4 linked regions of the Arabidopsis thaliana genome follow. The protein of the gene in region 4 purifies or fractionates together with the protein of the main gene of each other region. This does not show direct contact. Each region holds a gene or a part of one and is shown on either strand. Other genes may lie near its edges. The genes, in order: AT1G01170, AT5G25450, AAC1 and PHB3.

Region 1 (6,333 bases), on a different chromosome or scaffold from region 4:
TGGCAGACGAAATTCCTAAAGTACCCCAAGATTATAGAGAAGCTTCCGTTATCGTTCGTTTCTAAATAAGACTGACTTTGCAATGTGACTTCTTCAATGGCCCATCTGTCTTACAATCTCGTATTAGGCCCAATTATGTTTAATTGTAATTCTGCTTTGCTTAGAGGTTGTGCTTTTTTTTTTTTTTTTCACTGAAAGATATATTTTATATTCAAGACTGTAACCAAATATACAAAAAGTTAGGATCAAGGACAATCATTCTAGATCAACCACAATGAGTATTACACTAAGCAATACTTCTTTCTTTCTCAAAAAGATGTTTCAGCCAAAAAGGAAACCCGGTTGCTACATACGATTGGCGGCGATCCTCCATTGTCACGCTCTTGGCAATAAGATGAGCTCCAAGATTAGAGCTTCTTACTTCACCACACAATTCCAATCCAAAAAATTACTTAATTCTCCCAACAAAAAGTGAATCTGAAATTTATACGAAGGCCAAGACGGCAGTCGCGTAACAGCTCCAATTAGATCATTGTCTTCAGAGGCAAAGATGATTTTATCAACTCTGAGACTTTTCATACTCTCCATGGCCCATTGCCAACAAAGAAAAGTAGCATCAAGCTTGCTATGAACAGATGCAAAAGATCTTCTAGCATGAATTAGGACCTTACCGTGTTCATCTCTCAAAAACCCGCGCAGCACCTCCAATCTCACCAAATCTATCCCATGACGATCTAATATTGCATTTTAACCAATCATGGGGAGGAGGAGACCACTTAACCTTAACCGAAATGTGAACAGCTTGCTCATTCACCAAATCCTGATTCTCAAGAACTTGAGCAAAGAACCATTGATTGGCATCCTCTTTAATCTTCGCAACAGTTTTTGAGATCGCAAATCTTGTCCCTTTATTAATTACCTTTTTCACAGAAAAAAATAATATTCTGAAAATACACTTCCATGGAACACTTCATCAATTTGAAGTAAAAACAAAAAAAATGATGTTTTTTTTGTTTCACCTGATCAATCAAATATTTTTTCTCATTACACAATCAAAAACCTCAAATCCATTAATTTTCAAAAGATGGAAAAAAAATATGAATTGACTATGCAATATTACACATTTTCTTATTATTTATACATCGAATTTTTTCATTCCTTATGGGAAAAAGGGAATCAGGTTACTTTGACCGAATCAATAACCCAATGTTGACCATCGGTTTTGACCTTTAACCGGTTAATCTCTGCGAACAGATTCACGGCTCTCCTCACTCCTCTATTATCCGCCGCCGTGAAATAATCGTGACCAAATATAACACCGCCGGGTCGGAGTATCCGAACCGCCCGGTTTATATCCGCCCATGCCGAATTAAAATCGTGACCCGCGTCTATCTCCACCAGGTCCGCCGTCACTCCCCACTCACACAGCTTCTCCAAAGCCGAACCGGTCGAGAAAGGAACCGGCAATATCGAACCGGAAAAATCCGAGATAACCACGTTTTGCATAAACTGGTACATAAGCAGAACGTCACCGTTAACCAAAGCCATGTCCTTAAACCGGTCTCGAAAACCGGGCCAGCCACGGAAGTCGTCGACGCATAGAATCTGAGTCTCCTCGAGCCCAAGTCGGCGCGTGAGATTCGCCATGTGTATCGCCGACGCGCCGAGAAAACTCCCGACTTCGACGATCGTCTTAGGTTTGACTCGGCGGATTAGATTCTCGAAAACGGCCCCGTATGATCCCCAACCTTTGATTCTTTTTGGCCGGAGAAACTTCTTGGCGTGCGGTGGTGGGAAATCGATGTACGGAGAAGTTCCGTTAAAGATCCGGTCAATAACAGTCTGGCGAATCAATTCCGGCGGAACAAGATTGCCGCATGGAGTCGTAACTCGGAAGTTGTCGATTGAACAAACTTGAGGTTTTGTCGTTTCCACGGCTGTCGTAGACGGTGGCAGCTGCTGCTGCAGCGGTTGATGATAGTGGTAGGCGGAGAAGTAACCAAAGGCGTAGGTTAGAACTATGACGATAACGTACGCAGCCTTGGTTTTCAAGAATTGGAAGGCGTCGCGTTTGTGAGGAAGACGACGATCCTCCTTCATGGTCAAGATTTCTGAGAATGAAGAATCAAGTAAAAACAAAATAGGATTAAGGAAGGATAATTGTTTTTGTTATTAAGTTTATATAATTCGAATTATGGAAATTTATTTATGATTATTTTGGCGGGTCAGTTTGTTGAGACGTTTAAATACAGTCGGATAAGGAAATTGCTCACGTCGTGATCTAATTTATTTGTATTTATTTGACTTTACGTGTCTAGAAAGCTACATGTGATGTAGTCATTTACAATCAAAATCATTTGCTTTAATCCTTGACTTAATTCATTCTGTATTTCGGGTTTTATGAGTTTAGAAAAACCATATAAAACAAAAACTTATTTAACTCCCCTAGACCTATTAATAAATGAAACTACGAATCTCTAATCTTTAGTGTATTTACAGTTTTCCAACGAAATCATATGTTATAACACGACACGACCTCAATAGTCAATAATAAGTAGAATCATGTTTTGAACATGTCAAATGCAGCACTGATTCGAAAGAATAAAGAAAAAAAGAGTTTTGAATCGTAATTCTGCAAGAATTAAAGTGTAGTGTTTAATATATGTGGCATTCGCCGAGATCATCTTATAATAGAGTATGTGTCATACGCCGAAAACAATGTTGGACACTTGGACCTTTCCTTACTGATAAATAAATAAATTCATATCAACTAGCAAATTAGCATATTACAGGTTTTGGTTATAACAATTACTCGAGCTAGACGTATGATGAAATTCAGCAAACTAGTAGATTTGCTATTATATCTTCCCTTGTGATGATTGTAGTTTTGTCTCTTAATAAAACTAGTAATTAACGTTTCAGAAAACAATGCCCATTTTGGTAATTTCACAGAGATTTATCCAAAGTTTTTAAAGAGATAAGACGATAGAGTTGGACGACCGTCTTCCACCGTTGAATTCTTCTGGAACTGGAGTCCACTGTTTAAGCTTCACTGTCTCTGAATCGGCAAAGGTAAACGTATCAATTATTCTACAAACCCTTTTATTTTTCTTTTGAATTACCGTCTTCATTGGTTATATGATAACTTGATAAGTAAAGCTTCAATAATTGAATTTGATCTGTGTTTTTTTGGCCTTAATACTAAATCCTTACATAAGCTTTGTTGCTTCTCCTCTTGTGAGTTGAGTGTTAAGTTGTAATAATGGTTCACTTTCAGCTTTAGAAGAAAATGGCATCAGGAGGTAAAGCCAAGTACATAATCGGTGCTCTCATCGGTTCTTTCGGAATCTCATACATCTTCGACAAAGTTATCTCTGATAATAAGATCTTTGGAGGCAAGTTCTGCTCAAGATTTATCTAGTTTTGTGTGTGTTTTCAAGTTAGGGACGATCTTAATGGTTATCTTCTTGTGAAAATTTCAGGGACTACTCCAGGAACTGTCTCTAACAAAGAATGGTGGGCAGCAACGGATGAGAAATTCCAAGCATGGCCAAGAACCGCTGGTCCTCCCGTTGTTATGAATCCCATTAGCCGTCAGAATTTCATCGTCAAGACTCGTCCGGAATGAGAAAATAATAAGTTCAATGCTTTGATTTTCAGAATAAGATGAACGATGACGATGTTTTCTAAATCCGAGCTTGTACTAAATAACAATACATTACAACACGGTTTGCGGAACTACTCCACAGTCTATCTTCTGTTAAAAAACTCAAACAAGCTATTGCAAAAAGCCCTTACGAGACTCACAAGTCCTAAATATCAACAAAACAAAGCTTCTTTGGATCCTTTTCACTTGCCATCATCTTTTCCTTGTCCATCTGCTCCATCTTGCTTTCCTCCTCTAAGCCCCACTGTTAGCAAAGAAAGAAGTAATGGATACAAGTTACAATTTATGAGATTGAGTATTGTCTTAATAATGTAAAGAGAGTTACCGTTTCCTCCAAGACCGGTTTCTGGTTGTTGCATCGCATGCTGCATCCCGTTGTTGGTCATACCCATTGGTCTAATCCCCATGTGTCCTTGCATAGCTTGCTGATGTATCTGCTGCTGCTGTTGCGGATCCTGAAACTGGAGTGGGCTACCAAACTGTAAAGGACCCCTTGGAGCGAAAATCCCTGCAGGGGATGCTTGTGGGTGTTGCATGAAGTAGCTAGGTGGTTGCATCCCAGAATGCGGTGTTGCCATCTAACAGAAATCATACCCAACAGTAAGCAAACCCCCAAACAACATTAAATTTCTGTGATAGATCGCAATTGAGTTTTATCATCACAAACAACCTGGGCAGCGACAGCTGTAGATGGTGAAGGTCCTGGCGTAGGTGGTGGGGGTTGAGCATCAGCAATTGCAGCAAGATACATCAAGTTCTTCTGGAGAAGAGCTTGGTACCTGAAAATATAACAGAGCAAAAGATAGAATAACTATATAAACCTCACCATTAATAATAGTAATTCTAAGCTTCCATTACTATCTAAGAGACATAAGAAGATGGATAGAAAAGGTGAGACTTACTGGGCGCACTCAGCAAGTTTACCGAGATTCTGGTTTTCCATGATGGCCATAATCAGCTTCTTGTTCTCATCAAGGTACTGCGTTTAAGCAAAGGAAAGAGAATGACAAGGAAATGACGATGCAGCCTATCATCTTACCATGGAAGACATCAAGCCAAGAGAAAGTACAAAACAACAACATCAAGCAAGCATCTAACTTCAATGTCCATTCTTGAAAACCGGATTCAAAGTTTCCTGACCCACCAAGCATCTACTAATTTCCTAGTCCTAGAAACTGTCTCTTCTCATCATCACCAACAACAGACTCTCAAGTGTTGTGGAATTAACGAGAAAGATTCAAATGAAAACCCTAATTGCCACCAATTACAGTCAAAAGAGTATTACTTGCACTCAGAAGCCAATGATTTTGTCAGTACAAAAAAGCTCTAAGAGCCTCCTAAGTAGTGTTGAACAAATTAAGAGAGAGGGAGAGATATAGGGTGAGAAAGAAGGAACCTTTTGGATCTGTTCGGTAGTGATGTTGTTAGCAGGGGGAATCGACGGAACCATCGGAAACATTTGCGGAGACTGCTGCTGCTGCATCTTCTTCTTCTTTACTACTTACTTTGCCCCAACTAAACCCTAATTTCGTCTTCCCCAAAAAACCCTCGACAAAACCCAGACCGATCCAAACGCAGGAAATGATTGCAAGCTATATCTATATATATTATAGAGAGAGAATCCTGCAATTTATTACTTGGATTCACCTGGATGTCGAACCACCTCTGTGTGGATTTTATGACCAAAAATGCCTCTGTCTCTCTCTCTCTCTCTCTAATTTGTCTTTACAAAACTCTAAACGAAAACATAAAACATTAATTAATACAGCAACGAGCAACCTCTAACCAAATTAGAAAGTTTTGGATATATTTGGGCCAATGGGAAAAAAGGACATATTTGGGCCTAAGACGGTTCTAAGGCCCATGGACCATCGAGAAAGTTACATTGCAAAGTACTACATTGAGTCAGTTTCTTCCTTCTTCGCCTAAATTCGAAATTTCGAAACCTCAGACACACTTACAGAGAGACCAAACGGTAACATACAGTAGCTTCTTTTTCTTATTCGTTAAGAAATCTCACGTAAACCCTTCGAATTTCTCAAATCTTCACTCGGAATCTGAAAAAAAATGGTGAGTGATCTCCCGCTTGATGAAGATGATATCGCTCTCCTCAAGAGTCCTTATGTAAGCACCCCTTTTAGAAGAAACCTTTAATTTATTTTTTCTCGAATTTTAGTCTTTACTCGGATGTCGCTTGTGATACGTTAGAGAACAATTTGATATTTTTTACTGTGTAATTAGAACAAATTATGTCTTAATTGGTCTTAGATAACCTTAAATTGGTCGATTTAGTTCAATTTTGTGTAAACACTCTTACTTGGATTTATCTTCTTCTCTATCTTAGATAGGTGAAATTGTTGAAGAAATTGGCTTTGTGAGAGAAAAGCGCATTGCTCATTGTATTGTTCAGTGTGATGATGGTGGTGATGAGGACGTCAACTCTGCTCCAAACATTTTCACTTATGATAATGTGCCTCTTAAGAAGCGCCACTACCTTGGGACAAGTGACACTTTCAGAAGCTTTGAGCCGTTGAACGAACACGCATGTATTGTATGCGATATTGCAGACGATGGTGTAGTACCTTGTTCTGGGAATGAATGCCCTCTCGCTGTTCACAGGAAGTGTGTTGAGCTTGATTGTGAAGATCCTGCAACCTTTTACTGTC
Region 2 (7,036 bases), 7.5 Mb from region 4:
ATAAGTTTTAAAGAGGTAATAAAAACAAATTATATCTATTCTACACAATCCAAGCATTGATATGAAAAAATGCATATAAACAAGAATCTTGTTTCAGGTGCACCCGGAGCCTGAAGAGAAGCATGTAACCTTTGAACCACATTAAAAAGAATCTTTTGCAATTGTTTTTGTACACAACTGTATTTGTGCATAGGCATACATTGACTATGTTATAACTTTCCTTATAGTGGAACTTTGTTTCAGCAATTAAATATGAGATTATTCAGCATTCAAATTATCCAGTACTTGCTGCATTATGGCCATTTATTCGGGTGACGGTGAAAGCATTATTTATAAGCTTATATATATGTCTTCCGCTTCATGAGGATAGCTAATAGCTATTCTCTAAATCCGGATCGATCACCTCTGCCATGAATACCTTGTCACCTCGTATTGCTTGCTTTGCAAGAAAAATGCGCCAAATTTCAAGACCAGTTAATAGCTAGCAAGAATAACAATGGTACACCAGTCAAAGTTATTTTAGAGGAGATAAAAGATTTTCACAACGCTTTTTGCTTTACACGTCATCTCTCGGTTATTCTTCTGACACATAGCGTGGCTCCAAAGTAATCATATTTTCAACGTATTGCAGAGAGAGAGGTCGAAGAAGATAATGATCATTGTATAGTGTAAAGGTTCAAAGTTGATTAGCATATAGCTCTGTTCTTGAGTGATGGATAAGAATGGAGAATTAGGTCTTGTTTCTTAATACTTCTCGTCATATACGAGTTATTGTATACAAATGCATACATTGACTATGTTATAACTGTCTTATAGTGAAACAATGTTTTCAGCATTAGTAACCCTTATATAGTTTCTCCTCAAATCTGAGCTATAGCATTCAGATTATCTAGCACTTCTTGCATGGTTGGTCGCATCTTCGGGTCTACCTCTAGGCATTGTTTAATAAGCTCGCACATAAGTCTTCCCGCTTCAAGTGGATAGCTATTCTTCAAATCTGGATCGATCATCTCCACAATGTTGTACTTTTTATTTTTTATTTCTCGCTTTGCTGAGATTGTGAGGTCTTTTCCTAAACCAGTTAACATTTTAAGTAGTATAACACCAAAGCTATACACATCGCCCGCCATGTTCGACATCCCTTCATTTGATTAGTGCAATCAATTAAGGTTAGTCTCTTTGAATTTAATGGTCACTTTTAACTTTAAGATATAAGGAAGAAGCAGAAGATTGTTGCCTGAGAGTATGTATTCGGGAGGTGGGTATTGATATCTAGGTGCTACATTTGAAAACCCGATGGTGTATACCAATTCATCGAGAGAAACTTTTGGCTTTCCAAAATAGGAAACTCTTGCGTTGAAGTCCTGCATATCCCATAAATGTCACTTTAAAGGTAAGGAGCAAGTATTCAAGAAAAAAAACAAAAAAGGCAAGGTGAATACAAACCGAGTCGAGCAGGATTTTCGAAGCAGTGAGATATCTGCGGTATAGACCGGCTTGCTTCCTAGAGTGCAAGAAGGCAAGACACTGAGCCGCTCCTATGGATATCTTAAGTCGTGTCTCCCACGGCAATGACTTTGGACGACTATCTATGATATTATATAAACCATTAAATCCAAAAGGAAGATGAATTACTATTGGATCTAAGGTTAAGATCGTAAACTCGTGAGAGCTCCAGAAATCAATTTGAGCAACTCTCTTTATTCCCTCTCTATGATATTAAATTATCTAGGAATCATTTAGCTTGGTGTTCTTCAATTAGTATATTTTCCTCACTTCCACTAAATAAAGCTCTAATGAGCTATCTCAATTTTTAGATCTAGTTTTAAAGCTCTTATTAAGAGCTCTTACCTTTGGGTCTTGCTCGAGCAAGATTCTTCTTGCTTTGAGTCTACTCACAAGATATAATGACGAAAAGGAGATGAATAAACTTAACTTCCTTACCTCTACTGATGTAACTTCCTAAGCTTCCATTTGGAAAGTATTCAGAAACAATAAACAACATATCACGATCATAACAGTAGCCAATTAGCTTCACCAAGCTTGGATGAGAGTTATGTCGTAGAAACTCTACGTCAACCTACAAAAATATCATCTCTAATGTTAAGACACACTGACCCATCTCTAGGGGTAGGCAACATAGACATTTACCATCCAAAAACATCAAAAAATTTAGAAGAATAAATAAGTAACAAGAAACTTAACAATATTATTGGTTTTGCCGAAGGTTCTCCTATAGATTGAGATGATATAATTACTTACAAGCCAATCTTGAAAAGCTTGTTCATTGGCTAAGTAAATTTTCTTGACCGCGACGGCCATGCCAACACCTTTCTTGGCCGGAGATAACGTTTTGGGATTGATGTATCCCAAGCTCTCTCCTAGTTCCATCTGGTTTCCGAAATCATTAGTCGCTTTCTTCAGATCTGCCACCGTGAAGACTTTCACACCCTCCTCCACTATACATATATTATAACAAAACTTATATCCATTATAGTAACATTCAAATCAAAAGTACTTAAATCCGCAGAGAAATATATATATGTATACCTGATTTGGGAGCATTTGGTTCGGTGGGAAGTGTCGAAGCTGAGAGACAATTTCCCATTCGGATACTCTCTGCTAAATCTTAACACTAGAGTTCAATGAAGAAGAGAGGACTTTTAGTTTTTCACACCGAGGAGCAAAGTCAACGAAAACGCGTTTGAGAGTCAACGGTTGACGCGTTTTATTTGGTGAGTCATACGACGCCGTTTTTTGATAAGAGTACATACTACGCCGTTTGGCTAGAGTTTCATACGACGGCGTTTAAACAGATGTCTCTGGATGCTTCTTCCTTCTTCGTTCCCGGGTTAAATTACAAATAGCGGCGAAGGGGTTTCATCACAATTCACATCTTCAACGTTACTCCGAAGAAGATAATGGCGTCGTTTCTCCAGAGACTAGTAGATCCCAGGAAGAATTTCTTAGCTCGTATGCATATGAAGTCTGTTTCTAATCGCCTCCGCAGATACGGTACTCTTTCTTTCTCTCTTACCCTAGAAACCAAACCCTAATTCTCTTCTGGCTGATTTTGGGAATTTTACGATTTTTTAGGTCTTAGATACGACGATCTTTATGATCCTTTGTATGATTTGGATATTAAAGAAGCTCTTAATCGTTTACCGAGAGAGATTGTTGATGCTCGGAACCAGCGTCTTATGCGTGCAATGGATCTTTCTATGAAACATGAATACCTCCCAGATAATCTTCAGGTATGTTTTAGTCTCTAAGTAAGTGACAACAGAGCTAAAACGGTATATAGCTATGGAGTTTGTAGATAGAGCTTGCAAGATTTGACTTAAGACTTGTATTAGGATCAAGAACACTCTGTTTTCAGAAACCTGTTTTGGTTCTGTAATATAATTGTAACTTGATAAGCTTTGTAAGATCTTGTCTATGAAAGAAGTTTTTTTTGAGATAGTGCTTGTTAGTTGTGAGATAGGAAGCTTATGTAAATCTTTTTTTCTTTTCCTTGTCTCTGTAATTCCACAGGCAGTGCAGACTCCATTCAGGAGCTACCTCCAAGACATGTTGGCTCTTGTAAGAACAAAAACAGTTTTATCTATCTTGTAGTGATAGAAGAATCATATAGCAAAGTTCTAACACACGACACTTCATGTGCAGGTGAAGCGGGAGAGAGCTGAGAGAGAGGCTTTGGGAGCTTTACCTCTCTACCAAAGAACCATTCCTTAAGCATGTTAGTCTCTCTTGTGCTTATAGTAGGGTCACTGTTTTAGTACTCTTTAGGCTTCAATACCGCACAATTTGCTTTTGTATGGTTATGCATGGATATGTGAACCTTATGTATAAGATTTTATGAGATTGAATTGGATGTGTAATGTAAGCTTGATTGAGCTATTACAGAAATATGAGTAAAATATCCCACACCGGTAGGAGGAGAGTAAATCATGCTACATAAAGACATAAAGGCACACAAACCCTTAAGCTAGCTTTTGGAAATGTTTTCACAGTTCCTCATAGGAGCTCTGAAGAGAGGCGTGTAACCTCTGAACCACAATCCTTTATAACCCTTAGTTTGTCCTCTCAAATATGGGCTATAGCATTCAAATTATCTAGCACTTGTTGCATGGATGGTCTTTCCTTGGGATCTCTTTCAAGGCAGTTTTATGAGCTTGCACATACGCATCCCCTCTTCAACACGATAGCTATTCTCTAAATCTGGATCGATCATTTCCACAATGTTTTCTTTTCTATTCTCTGTTGCTTCCTCTGCTAAGATGATGCACGGGTTTCCCAAACCAGTTAAGATCTCAAATAGTATAACACCGAAGCTGTATACATCGCCCGCCATGTGTGATCTCCCTGTATATGCGTATTACCGTGCAATCAGTTTTAGGTTAGTGTATGAATTTTAATGGTCATTCTGTAGCTTGAGAGAGGACTTACCTGAGAATATGTATTCAGGAGGTTCGTAGTAAATTCTAAGAAATGCGCTCAATACAATTTTCTAGCTTGCTTACTCCTATAAATGTAACGCTCTAAGCTTCCGTTTGGAAAGTATTCAGAAACAATGAACAACAATTATCATCCGAACCGTAACCAATGAGCTTGACCAAGCTTGGATGCAGGTTATGTCGTAGAAACTCTAGGTCAACCTACAAACCTCGGCTGCCGTGTTAAGCATACATATATGAGTGATCAGTCTCTCTCGTAGAGGTTAATTTCTTACAAATCACTTTTGCAAGGCTTCTTCATAGGTTAAGTAAAATCTCTTAACGGCGATGGCCATGCCAACACCTTCCTTAGATGGAGATAACGTCTTGGGATTGATGTGTCTCCTCACACAGATTCATATATACCTGGAATTGTTGCAAGTTGTTCGGTTAGAAAACAGTTTCCCATGCCTATAAGATCCGCTTTCTTGACAGTTAAACAGAGTTTGAGGAAGAAGATGATTCACCTTACTTATCTAGATCTACTCCACCGGGCTTCAAGGTTCTGGAGTAAGCCATTGAGTATATGGACGTCTCAAGTCAATGTGTTAAAATGTCAACGCGTTGGAAAATGTCAACAAGGGAACCACCAACTTTTGTAGTTTATAGTTATAGTTTTAAACCTATGACGTGGAGCACAATATTCAAGTTTGTAGTTTAAATTGATCTTGCAAGATTGAACATAAGACTTGTATAAGGATCAAGAATCGTCTGTGTTTAAAGAGCCCTTTTGTGAACAACCTTACATAATTAGCTTTTTCCCATAGCCAATTTTGAATTTTTTTTTTTGTCGTAGCCAATTTTGATTTAATATACACAAATATTCATATTCATATTCATATCTTTTTTTTTCGTAGGGTTCATATTCATATCTTGTGCTAATAATGATCAAAGAATAATAGTTTATATAATTTTATGAATTTGTAGTCTTGTAGCATGAACTTTTCTCTGTCTTGTAGTGTTAGGGGGCTTATTGCAAAGTTCTTACACGATACTTCATATGCAGGTGAAGCGGGAGAGGCTTCGGGAGCATTACCTTTCTACCAAAGAAACATTCCTTAAGCATGTTAGTCTCTTGTACTATATAACTAAAGCCCACTTAACCAAACATTCCTTATGGCTCTTTAGGCTCCAATCTACCACACAATTTTACCTTTTATGGTTATGTACGGTTCACTTAAACACTGAACTTATACATAAGATTGATGTGTAATGTAAACTTGATCATTAAGTTAGATGTTAATGTTTACACAATTCCTCAAAGATGCCACTTTTAAACATTTTTTACATGAATCATATATATACAACGATGCTTTGCACGGTCTAGTGAATAAGTGTCGAGGTAGATAAGAATGAGATAAGGTATTTAAAGTATTTAATAGAGTGGTGTCAGTAGAGAGAACGATATGGATTTGTATTTGAAGACATTTCCATGTGAGTCACATTAGCACAGGAGGGTCCTTTGCCTAAATTCATTAATGAATTACTTAACAGAAATAAAATGACAATGTTCAATTAAATGTGAGTAGACTTACTCCTATTCTTTTCTCTCACTTGCCAAATGCCAAATTGCCAATAATTATTTATTACTGATGATTATTAAAAAAAATATTTTTCTTTTTGCGGAGATTTATTAAATATTGCATGATTTTAAAAAATAGTTATAGCCTAGCTTCCAAAAAGCCAAATTTATGTAGCTAAATGTTAAAACAATAGTATATGGCCACACTTCCACCAATCAGTCTTACTATCATTTGTCTCTTATGCGGTTTTGAAAGGATTTTGGTGCTTCTAATTTCGAATTTAGAGGGACAAACTAAAATTACGCAATATTTGAAAAGTAAGAATTATTGCTATTAAAAAATCTTGATACGATTCAAAAAAAATTATATAAAAAATACGGTTTTTAATTATTTAAATTTTCAGCATCTTTACACAAAAAAGAAAAGAATTCATTCTCATGTTCAAAACTATCTATTTTGTTAACTTTGTTTTTGAATTATGCAATTTTAAATATATTTCCTAATAATACTAGGGATGTTTGATCTTAAAATAAAAACAATTTGGTCTTAGTCATCAAATTTTAATTTTTTTTGGGTTTTTTTTTGCCGTCTATATTTATTATTTATTGCAAATTATGAGAACTGTTTCATATACAATTCTACCCAGAACAATTTTTACGACTCTTATTAGATCTACGAGAGATGATATCTCCTTCTTCTTCTCCATGCTTTTGATAGACATATTCAATGATCCTCTTTACGTAGAATCTTGACGAACGGCTATAATTGTACATCGTTGGAGATCTCATGTACATTTACCTCCATTAATCTGCAAATTTGTTAATAAATCTTAGTATCTGGGACTCGAACCTCAAATTTTTTGGTATAAAAACATTAATAAACCTTTCGTCAATCAAAGGGATTTCCAAAATCACGCAATATCCCTACCTAAACTGGAAACTCCGACCCAAAATCAAACAAAAATTTGAATTCAACATCCCTACCTAATACTACGTATATTATATGAATACAACGTAC
Region 3 (8,004 bases), on a different chromosome or scaffold from region 4:
ATCATCGAGGGAGACTGTTTCCAGCTGCTGAGCGATTCTCCGCTCGAGCTCGAGCCTGCAAGAGATGGCTACGTTTATGGTAATCCCGACCCTCAACATTCCAAAGAGGAAACTCAGAGGGACATTGTCATTTGGGAAAAGACTAACAATGGCTTCAAGGACGTTCCTCTGTTCATTCTCAAAAGTACCCGAATCGAGCTTGGTTCGCTCCTTGCAGTTTCGAATACCTTTCAACGATTCTTGAGCGTAATGCATCAAAGACGTTATGATACTCTCTGACCGCAAGCCTGTTCTAGCCATCGCAGAGACAACTCGTGCGTAATAGTCAATCCTCAGAGCAGAGAGGTCTTCAATCCACCACTCAGGACTATCTCCTCGCTTGAGTTCCCCTGACTCGGTGCCTCGGTTCAGCCGTGACAGCCCTAACACTAACTGTTCTCTGCAAGCATTCACAGCGATAGCCTCCACACATCTATCAGGAATGTGAGCAGTTTCAGCAATGTCTTGAGGATAAAGCGTCTCACAGGAACAGAGGACTTCCACAGACTTCTCAAGACTGCGAAACGCGACTTGCTCGAGGTAAGTCTCGGTCCGCGCAATCAAATTCTCTTCTTTGAAGTCCTCTGTCATCTCAAGATAACCAGCTGCGCAACGGATAGCAACCACGTTGGAGATAGTGATCTCGAAGTTGATGCCGTAGCAGAACTTCATGGCGAGTTCAAACGTCTTAGACCCACCTGGAAAGTCTCGGAGCTCTGTATGCGAGAGATTTGAAGATGATTCTTTCATCTCTGCCACCATTTTCCTAATCTTTCCACACCGAGCCACTAAAGGAAACTGCAAAATAATTCAAACATCGTAAATTGAAATTCCGTCGAACACTTTGTGTGGGCAAAAAAAAAAAACAGATCACTAACCTTGTGGAGTAAAAAGGACTCTCCATCAACAACAATTGTGATGTCTCCCGCAACATCTGAGAATATGCTGCAATTTATATATGGTAAAAACGAATCCTTTATGCATCGGATAAGTAAGAAATCTATACGTGATTGCATAAAAGGAACAAACTTTGACATGTTTGAACGAAAGAGAGACAGAGAACAGACCGAGTGGCAAAGGAGCTGGAGAAGATGGAAGGAGCAGGGGCAGAGGAAGACGAGTGAGATTGAGCATTGTCCGATATAATACCCATTGTGACCTTGAGTATGAATTTGAGGAGGAGCCTTTCAGAAACATATAGGCTTTGAACACTTTCCTTTTCTTGCTCGGATTTTTTAAAAACTCTCTAATAGACTTTATAATGCACTTTCAATTTCGTAATCTTGACTCCAAAAAAAAAAAGAAGAGATGCTTTTTTTGGTGATGTATGATTCAGAGCACGTGAGAAAAGCCGAGAGGGGGTTGTGTGTGGCACGGAGCTCCATAAAGACTCAATTATAGTCTCTTGGGGGCACACTTTCACTTTACTAATTGAGGTCTCTATTACAACCTCCACTCTCAGTTTCTATCTAATCTCTCTTTTATACTAACCAACCACCTATGAACCCTACTTTGTCACCACTACTTTTGCTCTATTTTGTTTCACCAAACAATTGACATGGTGATTTGAGATGTGAAATCCTTGTCGGATCAAAATCCTTCCAATAGCAGCAGACAAATGGCAAAATGACAGATCCTTTTAAATATCTCTAGATCCTTAATCACTAATACATCACTATTTTAATTTATTTCAAAGCTTTCAGAAACACCTTTTGTTAACTCAAATATCTGTTTGGTGTCTTCTTATTGGAAGTTTTCTTGATTTCTATCAATGTTCATAATTCCAAACTGATGTGCAACTCTATGACTCTGTTCCACAAAAATAATTCAGAGATGGGTGATGCTAAAGGGCGATTTGCATAGTAGATTTTTCACTCTCATTTTCCATGTTTTATGCATGTTAACCGAGCTCTATGCATTCGCTCTCTCATTACTACTGATATAGACATAGGTGCAATATGAGGGATATGAAGAGTGAAATATTGACATGCAATATATAAGTGATATTCTCAACAATGAGTTTGCAACATTTCTTTCATCATTGTTGCTACAGTTTAAGTTCACTACTTCGTACAAAACTTCTAAGTTACACAGGTTTGGATGCGTGCATTTTTTTAACTTATAGCCTGAACTAGATTGTAGATACTACCTAAGATAACGAAATCAATATTGCAAGTTGATTAAGACTATAAATAACATGGTAATCAGATAAAAAAGAAGAATTTATTTCATAAATCCAAAATTCTTTAAAATCGAAGAGTCTAACAAACTCTCTCAAACATGAATTATTCCATAAGTAAAAAAAGTTGGCGTCAGAACGATATAAAATTTGGTTTAGGGCACATGCCTCCCTAAGTCTTAAGCAAAAAAAATTTCATCAACATCTCAGTTTATTGCGGGCCTTAAAACCGCAATTAAAATCGAAAAAAGGAGGAAGAAGCAATGCTTAGGCACCTCCTGATCCGTACTTCTTACCGAAGACAATCAGCTGCAATTTGTCGTAACCGGAAAGCACACCAGCACCTGCAACAGCACGCAGAATGTTGGCACCAGCTCCCTTGAAGAGTGACTTGGCTCCTTCATTCTTGAGGATCTGCTTGAAGGCGTCCAAAGAACTCTTGTACTTGACAGCTTCACCAGACGTCATCATCATTCTTCTGCGGACAGTGTCAATGGGGTAGGATGCAAGACCCGCACCATTGGTAATAACCCATCCAAGAGCGAAACTAGCGAAGAAACTGTCCTGAAATAACCAAAAGAGAACGACCACAACATGTCAATATCAACCAATGATAGGCAAGAGAGCACACAGATCAGAGAGAAAGACAACAAGACATACCTGTAAGTCACCAGTGAGGAGAACAGGCTTCACAGAGTCATAGAGTCCAAAGTACAGACCACGGTAGACAATGATACCAACACATGAGATGTTGAATCCACGGTACAGACCAGCAATACCATCAGTCTTAAGTGTCTTTCTGTAGACATCAACAAGACCATCAAACTGTCTTCCACCACCTCCTTTCTTTGCAGCCTTGGCATCATTAGCTAGACGGGTACGGGCATAGTCAAGGGAGTACACAAACAGAAGGGAAGAGGCACCAGCTGCTCCTCCAGATGCCAAGTTACCAGCAAACCACTTCCAGTAACCATCTCTGTCCTTCTTAAAGTTGAAAAGTCTTTTGAAGTAATCTTTGAAGGCAAAGTTCAAGGCCTACAATAGACAAAAAAGAAGGTTAGCAGAAAATTATGTTTTTTCAAAAGCTATAACAAGAAAGAGTATGAAACTCAACAAACCTGAGTGGGGAAATAACGGATAACATTGGCAGTGTTTCCTCTCCATAGAGAACCAAAACCTTCATCCTTAATCGTCCTGCCGAAACAGTCACCAATACCCTTGTAGGGTTCAGAAAGCCTGCCAGCTTTAATCATCTCATCCTGGTTCTGGATCAAAAGCTTAACACGTTCAATAGGAGCAGCAGCAGTCTTGGAGACGGCAGCAGAAACACCACCCATCAGAAAGTCAAGGGCAAAGTTAGTGAACCCCTTCTCTCCTGGGGTTTGGACAAACACGGGAGAAGCAGTTGTTGCCAACATCCGGGATGTCGGAGGAAATTGAAATGCAGCATTGGAGTAGTTTCCGTAGGTTGCATGTCTTTGATACATAGAAGGCCTCTGGTAACCCACTTGAACGTCCTTGGAAACACTTGAACGCATGAACTGCCCGGCAGCTTTCTGCGCAATAGTGGGGTGCTGAACTTGATCAACCATTTTGAACTCTGCAAAATCACATAATCATTGATGAGAAACCAGACGTGAATAACATACTACAAACCAGCCAAGGAAATTCAGAGAATTCTTATCCAACACAAGACATGGTCGTATCACAGAACGCTATCCAACCAAACAAACCAAGTTTATTGGAAAACAGTGAACCATGAACCAAGATCTACCATGTCATATTATAACGCAAAGATCATATAAATTTAAGAACAGCAACTTAAATCAGGATTACAACAATAACAACTTCCAATAATGAAGCCTCGACATCAGATCGGATACATTTTAAACTAAAGTCAACAGATCCAAACGATTTTGATCACTAGAAGATTATCAGATCAACGAAACGCACAAAAAGAAGCAGATCTATGAAACCGATACATCAGATATTCGACAATGAGCACAAAACATTCCGATCGGACTTTAAGCAAAGCAGATAACATAATCTATCAATATAACAATCAGATCTACAGATCGAAACGTCTCATTTACCTTACAGATCTAAAAAACACAGATCGAAGAAACGAATATAACAATGATTTGAAGAACGACGAGATTATAAAGAATCACAGATCTGAGAGAAACGAGTCATACCTAAGAATCGATGGATGAGCAAAATAACTGGAGAGAGACTCCGCCTTTATCTCACAGGAAATGAGAGGGCGAAGCAGAGAAGAGAGACGAAGTTTTCTCTGTGGTGAAGAGGCGAGCTTTGAAAAGAGCGATTGTTTGCCCTTTTATCGTCTCGAAAAATAGGGTCACAGAGTCTCGGTCGTCACTCGCCAGTGGGGACGAGTTATTATCTGCTGCAAAAAAACTATTTGGGCCTTGCAATTTAATATCCGTTGGATCTTACTGATTTAACCCTAAGAACTTGTTAACCGTTGGTTATGTTTACTTTGTGAAAGAATTGTTATTCTTTCTGATGGTACGACTTTACTTGCTAACCGTTAGATCTTGCCCTAGGAATCTGGACCGTTATTTGGTAACGTTGAGGGCAAATAGTGAATGGACGGCTGGAAGGGTAGCGTGGAAAATTATTTTGTCGACCATACCGAACCAGATCAATTTGCAAATATCTTATGCCAAAATTATTATTATGAAAGGAAATAAATTGAAGTGTTCAATTTTATTTTAAATGCCAGATTTTTACAACTTTGTTTATTTTCTTCTATATGAATATGATATTTGTGAATATACAAAAAAAAAAAAAGTAATAATAAACTGATCTAGTATTTTTCACAAATAGTGATATTTTTCTAAATCAACTTGGTTACAAAGATAATTTTTCTATATGCTACGTTTCTTTTCAACTTTCTCTATTGTTCTCCCATGTGTTACGAATGTTCAGCAACTGCCCTTAAAGTCTCATACCTTTAACTTTACATGAAAGGTTTCTTTTATTTAATTCGTTTAGTTATTTGGAGAACATTTTTTAATGAAGTTATGTTTTGGCGAAATAGATAAATCAAATTTAGTCTGTGAATTGAACAACATCGTGAGAGGGCCGGCGAGTATACAGTATGGCTCCCAAAAAATCACGAGCCTTATTAGAGAGCGGTGAAAATAGTAACTTAAAAGAGAATCAGAGTCTATAGAGGCTCAGGTGGGACTTTTAAAAAGAACTACAACAACAAGAATCATCACTTCTCGACGACTTCGATCAGACTTGTCTCATAGTCACTCGGGGCCACAAATCCATGGAGGTTCATCACTGTCGCAGCTACATTTGCAAGCCCAGGTGTCTCGATATCCTGTCTAAACCTAACTCCTGCTGACAAGCCAGGACCTCCTATGGCAATTGGCACCTGCACACACACATCATGTCCAAATTTCATATAAGATACACCAACCACTTCTGGTATTACAACCCCTCATGCTTAATCTATGCTCAGTTGCAATGGTCATAACACGAACTGTTTTAGTAGTGCTAGAACTTACTGGTTTAAGGGTGTGAGAGGTAAGAATCTGAAGGTTCCCTTCCTTATCGAGAGCAGGCTTGCCGGATTTGTCCCTTTTAACCATGTCCTCAGCATTTCCGTGATCTGCAGTCACAACGTATATCCCTCCGACCTGTTCTATGGCATCAAGGATTGTCTGCAAACCAGGACACCAAAACTAAGTGAGTCATTGCTACTAAGAACGGTTTCTAACATTCCCATGTCACAAATTTATTGAAATCATACCCTCACAGCACGATCAGCAGCTTCACAGGCAACAACAGTTGCTTCAATATCACCAGTATGCCCCACCATATCTCCATTTGGCAGGTTTACACGCACCTGAAAATCCATTGGCACCAAACTCAGAAGCCAATTGTTTTAATGGGTTGATACAATGTGATAAGAGAATACACCTTACCTGGTCAAACTTGCCACTAAGGATAGCATCCCTTGCTTTCTCGGCAATTTCCAGTGCTTTCATCTTTGGCTGGACATTGAATGATATTCCACTATCACTTGGAATCTCAACGTACTCTTCTAACTTTTCATTGAAATATCCAGAGCGGTTGCCATTCCAGAAGAAGGTTACATGGCCAAACTTCACAGTCTCACTGTTTCAGTGAAATAAAATTTTAATAGGTTAATAGCTGAGAATTCATTCATTATATGTAACTAACCATCAACGGTATAATCTCATCAAGAAAAAGTGAGCTAGGAGATTTCACTAGTTTTAATCAACAAACAACCCCCAATCATAAATTAGACCTCTACCGAGCAAGTAAAGAAGACTGGATTACTCTTATCACAGTTTCAATTATGAATCCAATTCCAGCAAATAAATAAACCAGGAAGCAGCAATAGAAGAAAATGGCAAAGACAATAACTAAAGATTTGAGAGATTCTAAAAGTTAACCTGCAAGCAAAAGTACGAACGCCATTGTGTGCCAGATATTCACCAGAAGTTCTGTCAATCAATGGTGGAGAAACAAGATAGCGGCTAGGAAGCTTAAGCTCTCCATCATATTGGAGCATTCCTGCATAACGTATATCAGGGACACGTACGCGATCAAACTTGTCGAAATCTTTGTATTCGAGGGCCTTTGCATGCATGACCATTCGATCAGCACGGAAATTGAATGTAACAACTGCGTCACCATCAACAATTGGACCCACAGCCTTTCCATTATCATCAACAATAACAAACGAAGGCAAATACTGGTCATTGGCACCAGGTTCTGCCCTCAGTGTCTTAACTGCTTCAAGAGCGCTTTTAAATTTGTGGGGAGCTTCCCCAAGGACTTGTGCATCCCAACCTCGTTTAACAACACTCCAATCATTCTGCAAGGAAGGAAAGCAAAAATTGGATTCATTTCTAAACTAGACTAGACAAGGCATGACATTCATACAAGATCTCACAAGCATTGCCTACCTCATAACGGTCCATTGTGACATACATTCGACCTCCACCAGATGCAACCTGAGCATCAACACCTTTCGCACGTAAAGCAGCTAGGTCAGCTTCAAGAGTTTCAACAAATCCGACACTAGAACCATCCAAAACATCACGACCATCAGTAAGAATATGGACGCGGATTCTCTTAGCACCACGTTCTGCAAAACCCTTAAGCAGCAACTGCACCAAACAGAACCAAATTAAAGAAAATTAACAAACGCCAACGTTTCAAAAGAAATGTGTAACAGATGAGAATTAAGTACCTGGACTTGATCCAAACGAGAGTGAACTCCACCATCGCTTAGAAGACCAATAAGGTGCACAGTGCCTTTCTCAAAAGATTGAGAGATGTATTTGAAACCTTCATCTTCATAGATTTTCCCTGAAGCAAGGGCGAGATCAACAAGCTTAGCACCTTGAGCGTAAATTCGACCAGCTCCAAGAGCATTGTGGCCAACTTCACTGTTTCCCATGTCGTCTTCGCTGGGGAGACCAACGGCGGTACCATGAGCTTTGATCAACCTCCATGTGTCGGGCTTCCCCTGTGAAGAATAAAATCGAACCGTTGAAGTCCATAATCGGAATCCAGCGAAATCATCGAGGAAAGAAGTGGATATAAACAAAAAAGGAAACATACGTCTTTAAGGGAATCCATGGCAGGAGTTGGAGCTTTATGGATGCAATTGTATTGATCGGGATCAGATTCACCCCATCCATCGAGAACAATCAAACCGATAGTTTTGCCTTTGGGAAGCTTGGGGTGGTCCGCAAGTTTCCAGTTAACGTCGC
Region 4 (8,030 bases):
TCTATCTGGTTTTCGTTGCCTCTTTTATCTGAATTCATATGATTGAGAACCTCACTGTTTGATCTAGTTACATTTTTCTTTAAAAATCTCCTTAGCGAGTTTACATGGATTGGTTGATATTTCCATTTGCATTTTCAGCCAATTAGTCTCTCGTTACTGATTATTTTAGTGAACTTCAGGTGCTTCAATCTGTGGTTCCGATAAGCGATGACGAGGTAGTTCTTGGACAATACGAAGGATATAGGGATGATGATACTGTTCCAAACGACTCAAACACTCCAACATTTGCCACAACAATCCTTCGCATACACAACGAAAGATGGGAAGGTACCATGTCCCACTTCACTCTTCATATTTTCATCTATCAGTTCAGAAACAATCTGGAAATTGACATAAAATATGAAGAAAAAACAGAGGTTTGATGGGTCAACATGATCATAGATAGCATCAATCTTTTGGTTAAAGCATGTGGAACCAAAATCCGACATGTTTGCATGCACATTCTAACGGTCCTGGATATATCTTTCAGGTGTTCCATTTATATTAAAGGCCGGAAAAGCGTTGAATTCAAGGAAGGCAGAAATTCGCATTCAATTCAAGGATGTCCCAGGCGACATATTCAGATGTATTGTCTTGCCCTGACATCGTGTTTTGAATCTTCTTTTAGCTTTTTGAATTTAAATATATGTAAAGACACAATGTATCGCTTTGTCTAAACTCTCTTGCAACAGGTCAAAAGCAAGGAAGGAACGAGTTTGTGATACGCTTGCAACCTTCAGAGGCAATGTACATGAAACTAACTGTAAGTATATGATGAACAAACAAACATAATTTACTAATTACTCTGACCTTGAACCACTACAGTGAACCATAACGCTTTTGGCTATGCTTTTGCTACACAGGTTAAGCAACCAGGTCTAGATATGAATACTGTGCAAAGTGAACTAGACTTGTCGTATGGGCAACGGTATCAAGGTGTCGCTATCCCTGAGGCATACGAGCGCTTAATTCTTGACACGTAAGAAATAAATTTTCTAAATTATATACTACCCCAATAGGCTTTATATATCTAATTGATGCCTTCTGTTCCTTCATGTTATCTTCAACATATTTTCTTTCCATCTCTCTGCAGAATCAAAGGCGATCAACAACATTTCGTTCGTAGAGACGAATTAAAGGTAGAAACATTTTCTAACGCCACCCTTAAACCAAAGCAGTCTCTGAGATCGTTTTTTTGTTACATTACAAATGCTCTAACTATAGACACAATCCAGACACAAACTTTTGCATCATACAATTCAGGAGCTAACATTTGTATCCATTTTGATGATTATTACAGGTTGCGTGGGAGATCTTCACGCCGCTACTCCACAGGATCGACAAAGGAGAAGTAAAGTCAATCCCATACAAACCAGGAAGCCGAGGACCGAAAGAAGCTGATCAGCTACTAGAGAAAGCTGGTTATCTTCAGACTCACGGCTATATCTGGATCCCTCCTACACTATAAAACCCTACATATATATAAATACACAATACATGTATCTACATGTATATGTATAAATTATGCTGAATAGTCCCTCCTCGAGTTTGGTGTTTGTACGTGAAACTTGCTACTTCAGCTGTTCACTTTGACACTTCCTTTGGTCTTGTATTTGCGGCTTTGTAGAAATAAAAATAAAAATCTTACCAATACCATAAATGAATTTAGCTTTTGTTGTGCTCGTTAAATGAATGAAATTGACGATGAGATAGAAAAAATTGCCAAAAAATGTAGAGTTTGTTGATATACACACATAAGTTCAATCTAGAGGTGGTTGAAACACACATTAAGTTCCATCTAGAGTTTGTTGACACAGACACATAAGTTGAGTCTAGGAACCGACGCCGTCTTTACATAGTCATCATTATCATTAGATGACCAAAAAAAAAAAAACTAAAACCGATGGATAAAATGGATCTCGATAGAAAAGGCTATCTTTCATGATTTCTCTTCTTTATTTGCTTTGTTTCTGAACTTGCTCTGTTTATGCAAAAACAATTGAATGTCCATACAGATCGAAATTTGACGTAGACTATCGACAGTTTATGCAAAATAGGTACCATCTAGATAATCCAGATGTGACCATAGTTTATCCGCATAGAACAACACTCCTAGGTACCATCTGTATTTTCTTTTCTCACGCATGTGTAACAAACAAATTACTTACAGTTCAGCCAAAATCATTTATTTGTTGAGAATTAGATAAACATGATGCTGAAAACAAAGATTCTTCAGGTAGAGTAAATTTTGCCGAGATTCAGAACACAATAATGACAACTCAAACAACTAGTTTCTTTTTCTTCTTCAGAGTTCATCAAAACAAAAGAGCATTTCACCTTTTTGATTCAATCAGATTCACAACTTGATCATTAAAATATCGCAAAATGCTCCCAAACAACCTGCACATAACCATAATACAAAGCCTTCAGACAAATCACAAAACGACTTAATTCTATGGATTCAGATGAAGCTTTTACATACCATCATATCTGATCAAGATCAACGGTTCAGGGCAAAGAGCATGCTCTGGCCACCGGGTAAGTAGGCCACATTAGGAGACCTAGCAAGTGTAGACGCAATCTCCCTTGAAGCTTCAATCCTCCTAAGCTCGATAAGTCCCATACCAGCTTTAGCCGTAGCATCAGAAATCAACTGAGCAGCTTCACTTTCACCTTCAGCTCTTATAACCGCAGCTCTCCTCTCTTGATCAGCCTTCATCACAACAAACTTAGACCTCTCTGCCTCTTGCTGAGCCACTTGTTTCTGCTCAACAGCCCTTGAAAACTCCACACCATAGGACAAATGCGTGATAGCTACATCATCAAGCACAATGTTGAAGTCCTTCGCACGGGTGATTAGTGACTCCCGAACAAGTGCTGAGACGTGAGGACGCTCAGTGAGAAGCTGGTCAGCGTTGAACTGTGCAACCACAGCTTTCAAAACCTCATTTCCAATCGAAGGAAGAACCTTCTCGTCATACTCTAGACCCAAAGTTTGGAAGATGTACGGGAGACGCGACACCTTCACAACAATTCACATCACATAAACACACCAAATTAATAACGATTCTACAATACCTAGTCCTCGAAACAAATTTTGAAAATCATAGATCATCAAAACCCTAAACCCTAAATCCAATTCGCAAATGAATCTGAAAAACCTCAATTCAGAGAAATCAAACGAGTCTAGATCAAAAATGAAGAACCGTTATGCGTTATACCTCAGGACGAGAGAGAACACGAAGAGTGAGATTAACCATCTGGAGATCCTTAGTACCAGAGATTGAAGAGAACGTGTGAGGCTTCGTGCGGATATCGAAGATGTGAGGCCTCTGAAGAATCGGGATCAAGAAATGAGTCCCTTCACCCACAGTCTGATCCATCACTCCCCTGAATCGATCGAAGATAACAGCTCTTTCTCCGCCGTCAACGGTGAAAAGCGATGTATTCAGCACCGTCGCCGCCGTTCCAAGACCGAAAGCAGCCTTCGCCAAATTGGAAAGGAACGAAACAGCCGCTTGTTGGCTTCCCATTTTTGCGTGTGGATTATCTTGAATCGAGAGAGAAGAAGAAGGAAGAAGAGATTTGAGACGACGAGAGAGGAAAGAGTTTCTGCTAGGGTTTATGATATGTTTCTGGAACCTACCACGGGAAATGATTTAATGGGCCAAGTAACTTAGCCCAATATTATTATGTGACTATATAAGCCTATTAAGAACTAAATTCAATAATGGGTTTCATGACATTGGGCTGAAAACAGCTTAACGGTTACAGAGTATGTTTAATATCTTTTTGTCTCATAAATTATGTTTCTCTCAATTTTTTTTATTTTTTTTTTACTGAAAGATAGATTATAGATAGAGTTTACAAAGTTAAAGCTGACGATTAACAAGATAATCTCAAAAACTAAGTCGACGGATAACAAAAATCCTCGGAGACTAAAGCCCAAAAGTATGGGAAGCTAACAAACATTACTTTAAATGCATAAGAAAATAGAAACTGAACCATGGAAAATCAAAAACTATAACCAGAATCTAGCACATGAGACATTGCCCACCATCAATCCAAGATAAAGAAAAGCTTGCAGAAATGGCTAAACGACGGGGAAATTCTAATCCACAGCATCAAGATAGCAGCTCTTCTTATAACAAATGAAGACTACCTCACAGTTCAAAAACAGCATCCCAACCAGCAAGAAGAAACCAAATATAAAACAGCAAAATCGAGGCAATGAAAACCAAGATCGGTCAACGCCAATAGTTTATCTCAATTTGTTTAATCAAATAAAAATTGAAGAATATACCTACTTGGACATTTGTATGGTGTTAAGGGCCTACTATAAAAGTATTAGATTAGTACAAGCCAACGGTAGTGAACAAAAATATTCTTCGAGCTACTTGACAAACACGAAGTTGAATAAGGATAACTACTTTTTCGTATAAGAAAAATATTTACATGTGAGCATGATTAATCCTTTTCAAATATAACGGCAGGGGACGTTGTTGTTGAGTTTTTCCAGTATAAAAAGTGTTTTTTTTTCCTTAAAAGAAAAGTTGTGAAACAATGATATCTATTTTTGAAAACTTTTTGTGACTATTTTTTGACCAACAAACAGTATACGCGAATACTTTTCTATTCGGTTAAGTGGGATTTGAAGACAGATGTACACGAGTATTAAAACTGAATCTGAAAGCATGTAAATCTCCAAATATTTTATCCGTAAAATTGTTATGTATCTTCGACCAAAAAAATATAGAGATATTATGTATCACTTAATTAATATGACTCAATTAAGTCGTCTCGAATACTAAGAAAATTATGGAGTTTTACTTGGAAGGTCACACAGTGACCTCACCACGTTATCGAAAATGTCAAATGTTTCGGTGTCGAATCTTATACAGGTTTGAAAATAACCTTTAAAATAGATTTATATTACAGAAAAGTCCTTCAATATTGATTTTCAATTAAAATATTGCAGAGAAATCTTTAATTTCAAAAACTAAACGCCAACTTCAAAGATTGAGCTAAATTCGATTCTTTCAACATTTTGACTCCAACCGGATATATATGTAGTCATCAATATTATCGAAACAGGTAAAAGAAACAACCCAAGTGAAGGAAACATGAATCTTTGATAACCAATTAGAGTGAGAAGTGTATAATTGTAAAATAAACAAACTGAAACTAATATTAATATATATATATATAATTATATATATACTACTACTACTATACTAGGTTATTTTGTCAAATATATATATATGGTACATGACAACAATAATAAGAAACAATTTACACTTTTGTGTTTGCTCATCAAGAAATTTGGAACAAAGTCCAACTAATCTTGGGATAGATCGACCAAAACAAAACGTTCACTTGGTTTTTAATCGGTCAGAAAGAATATGTTTAGGCTAAACATTGAATCGAATTATCATCTGACCACCAATGGTAGATCAATAAAAAGTATTGATGTGTTTTTATCTAGCTAGTGAAAAAATTTTAGAATTGCCATTTACTTAAATATGAGACTCATTACATATAATGCAAATATTCTTTAGTCTAAGCTATAATGGATGCTCATTTGTTGTTTAGTGCACATAATTTTCCTCCACCAATGGCCAGTATTTGTTTACAAACTAGTATAAGATAATGTAAGCTAATTATCACATACATGATGTCACGTTGATACACTAAATTATAAAAATTATAATTTAGTGTCAAAGTGCAGATCGAAACTATAGCTAATTGGTGGTGTTGAAATTATTCATACCTTAGTAATAATTATAAAATCAATTGATTGTAATCTAATAGTTTCGTTGACCATATACAACGAAGATGAAATAGATTGACGAGTAAATAAAAATAAATTTGCAATCTGGTGGAGATAAATTTCATCCTTAACCTACAACACTAGGTGACACGTAACAATTAAACCGAGTCAACTGATTATTTCTTTGAAGAAAACTTCCTCTCGTGTACAGCTTCCGAGATGCTTCACTGGAGGCATTAACTACTTTGATCATTTGATTTTTGTTTGCACAATCACTAAATGCAGATACAAACATGCCCGCGCTGAACTATATTACATAAGCATGTATCTCTCATTCGATGCGGAGATACAGACGGAACACTCGAGTTGCCAATTGCGGTTTAGTCTACACGCTTCTATTGAAATAAACATAACAAGTCTAAGATTATGAGCTTACGACATTGGACAACATCCATATAAAACTCCTGTAAACTGTAATTAGGTTATTTAAACCAGTAATTCATATATATAGGATATTTAGTGAGTTGCTTCTTTGAACAACGTATCTCTTTTTTTATTTTTGTCTACTATATTTTCATAAAGTTTTACATGAGATAGATTCATCTTGCGTTTAATCTATTTATATGGTATTAGTATTTATACGCTAATTTGTTCGTCTATTTTTCTCTTTTTTGGAAAAAATTCGAACTTCATCAGTTGACTCATTAAATAACTTTCCCAACAGAGTTTTACTTTACACGTTTTTTCTTCAATCCCAATAAATTCCACACACAAAAACCTAACTATAAAACAGTTTTGACTTTTAAACATTTCAATAACATTTTCTAATCATTGTTATTATTATCATAAGCCATAACATGTCATCACATAAATGCTCACATGCATAACGACGAGATAAATCGAGAGTAAAAATATTCTTTGTGCATATAGGAGTTGTTCGGAATCGGATAATGATGAATTTAGTTAGAATTAAGGACTCATCATACAAATAACATTCATCACTATACCTTTTTTTTTCTTTTTTTTTTTCATCACTATACCTATTTGCTTGAAATTTTTAACTAATTAATCTTATGATGATACCTTAATTTTTTCAACCATGTTGATGAATCCGTATATAAATATTTTATTTTACACATCTTCTTAGTTTCTATAGTTTTTCTTTTTTGGGGCAACTAGTTTCTATAGTATTTTAATTCAAGAATTAATATGGAAATCGTCGTAAAACATTATTCCAACTAATTAAATAACAATAACAAAATATAAGTCAATGGAAGAAAGCCACTTGACCGAAAAGCAGGAACATGACAAGATAGAAAATGACAAAATAAATAATTTTAAGAAAATAGAGATTGTTAGAACATAGAAGTGAACCATACACTTCATTATCTCTTCTTTTCATTGACTCTATCATTTTCTCAAAAGTCTTCATTTGGTGCATTTCTACGAACTTTCCTAGCTCCTTCACATTTAAACACTAGCAACAATGAATTAAATTTTATGTACAAACTAAAAGCAGAACATTAATAGTGGAAATTGAACAATGACCATATTTTGTTTTCGAAATATTTTTAAAACATTGCCAAGAAGAAATGAGAAACGGAGACATCTGATACTTTTGATATTTAACGAATAATTAATACTCCTATGATGTGCGTAACCAAAAGATCATTTGCTACAAACAAAACTATTATCACAGAGTCATAGATAAAATTATTGACTTTAAAGGTTGCGTAAAACCATCAAATACGCACACAGAGGCATATTTTTGGTTGTCTCACCGAGACAATAGTTTTTTTGTTTTTATTATCATATTTAACTTTTAAAAAACGAAAATATAAATTTGTAGTCTTGTAGAGATCATAAACAATATATAAATGGTTTAGTCAGAAGACTCAATAGTTTGAACAGAAATATAATATTTCCCTGTTTTGAGATTTACATAAGATGACGTTTTGAGAGTGCACAAAATATCAATAATGGACTGTTTGGCTACAAGTTTGCGGCGGTCAACGCTAAACACTGTACTAAACGCTAAACACACTTTCCAGATCGATATTTGTTATCTATTTCTATTTGTACTTGATCCAATTTAGCCAGCCATTTGGTATTCACATATTCGCTAAAATTCAAATGTTTGATCAAATATCGATCAGTTTGCTAAATCTTATTGGGGAAATTAAATTTAGAAGAGTTCTACAATTTCCTTCATGTTCTAAAA

What was found.
Region 1: the proteins of PHB3 (region 4) and AT1G01170 fractionate together in Arabidopsis thaliana (co-fractionation; one large-scale study listed by BioGRID). This does not show direct contact.
Region 2: the proteins of PHB3 (region 4) and AT5G25450 fractionate together in Arabidopsis thaliana (co-fractionation; one large-scale study listed by BioGRID). This does not show direct contact.
Region 3: the proteins of PHB3 (region 4) and AAC1 fractionate together in Arabidopsis thaliana (co-fractionation; one large-scale study listed by BioGRID). This does not show direct contact.

The regions. Positions count from the first base shown.
Region 1 is NC_003070.9:71,400-77,732, reverse strand, and holds AT1G01170 (ozone-responsive stress-like protein (DUF1138)), read left to right. Parts: upstream 1-2,995; 5' UTR 2,996-3,072; exon of another isoform or gene 3,073-3,277; 5' UTR 3,278-3,289; coding exon 3,290-3,395; intron 3,396-3,482; coding exon 3,483-3,628; 3' UTR 3,629-3,802; downstream 3,803-6,333. Other genes in the region: AT1G01180 (S-adenosyl-L-methionine-dependent methyltransferases superfamily protein), read right to left, coding at 1,177-2,100; GIF2 (GRF1-interacting factor 2), read right to left, coding at 3,850-3,911, 3,993-4,245, 4,338-4,446, 4,570-4,646, 4,717-4,818, 5,064-5,150; AT1G01150 (Homeodomain-like protein with RING/FYVE/PHD-type zinc finger domain-containing protein), read left to right, coding at 5,735-5,791, 6,012-6,333.
Region 2 is NC_003076.8:8,854,115-8,861,150, forward strand, and holds AT5G25450 (Cytochrome bd ubiquinol oxidase, 14kDa subunit), read left to right. Parts: upstream 1-2,802; 5' UTR 2,803-2,921; coding exon 2,922-3,015; intron 3,016-3,096; coding exon 3,097-3,254; coding exon of another isoform or gene 3,255-3,272; exon of another isoform or gene 3,273-3,534; coding exon 3,535-3,582; intron 3,583-3,666; coding exon 3,667-3,735; 3' UTR 3,736-4,362; downstream 4,363-7,036. Other genes in the region: AT5G25430 (HCO3- transporter family), read left to right, coding at 1-15, 98-145; AT5G25440 (Protein kinase superfamily protein), read right to left, coding at 861-1,141, 1,238-1,364, 1,447-1,589, 1,945-2,080, 2,206-2,459, 2,551-2,608. UniProt on the Arabidopsis thaliana protein: Component of the ubiquinol-cytochrome c oxidoreductase, a multisubunit transmembrane complex that is part of the mitochondrial electron transport chain which drives oxidative phosphorylation.
Region 3 is NC_003074.8:2,603,221-2,611,224, forward strand, and holds AAC1 (ADP/ATP carrier 1), read right to left. Parts: upstream 4,676-8,004; 5' UTR 4,414-4,675; intron 4,354-4,413; exon of another isoform or gene 4,312-4,353; intron 3,819-4,311; 5' UTR 3,811-3,818; coding exon 3,337-3,810; intron 3,254-3,336; coding exon 2,879-3,253; intron 2,783-2,878; coding exon 2,486-2,782; 3' UTR 2,215-2,485; downstream 1-2,214. Other genes in the region: AT3G08570 (Phototropic-responsive NPH3 family protein), read right to left, coding at 1-837, 918-984, 1,107-1,192; iPGAM2 (Phosphoglycerate mutase, 2,3-bisphosphoglycerate-independent), read right to left, coding at 5,463-5,627, 5,761-5,916, 6,006-6,101, 6,181-6,373, 6,676-7,100, 7,192-7,395, 7,479-7,757, 7,853-8,004. UniProt on the Arabidopsis thaliana protein: ADP:ATP antiporter that mediates import of ADP into the mitochondrial matrix for ATP synthesis, and export of ATP out to fuel the cell.
Region 4 is NC_003076.8:16,313,050-16,321,079, forward strand, and holds PHB3 (prohibitin 3), read right to left. Parts: upstream 4,243-8,030; 5' UTR 3,573-4,242; coding exon 3,261-3,572; intron 3,062-3,260; coding exon 2,540-3,061; 3' UTR 2,522-2,539; intron 2,440-2,521; 3' UTR 1,801-2,439; downstream 1-1,800. Other genes in the region: G6PD6 (glucose-6-phosphate dehydrogenase 6), read left to right, coding at 180-327, 530-625, 732-802, 903-1,018, 1,133-1,178, 1,340-1,507. UniProt on the Arabidopsis thaliana protein: Prohibitin probably acts as a holdase/unfoldase for the stabilization of newly synthesized mitochondrial proteins. Necessary for mitochondrial and cell metabolism and biogenesis.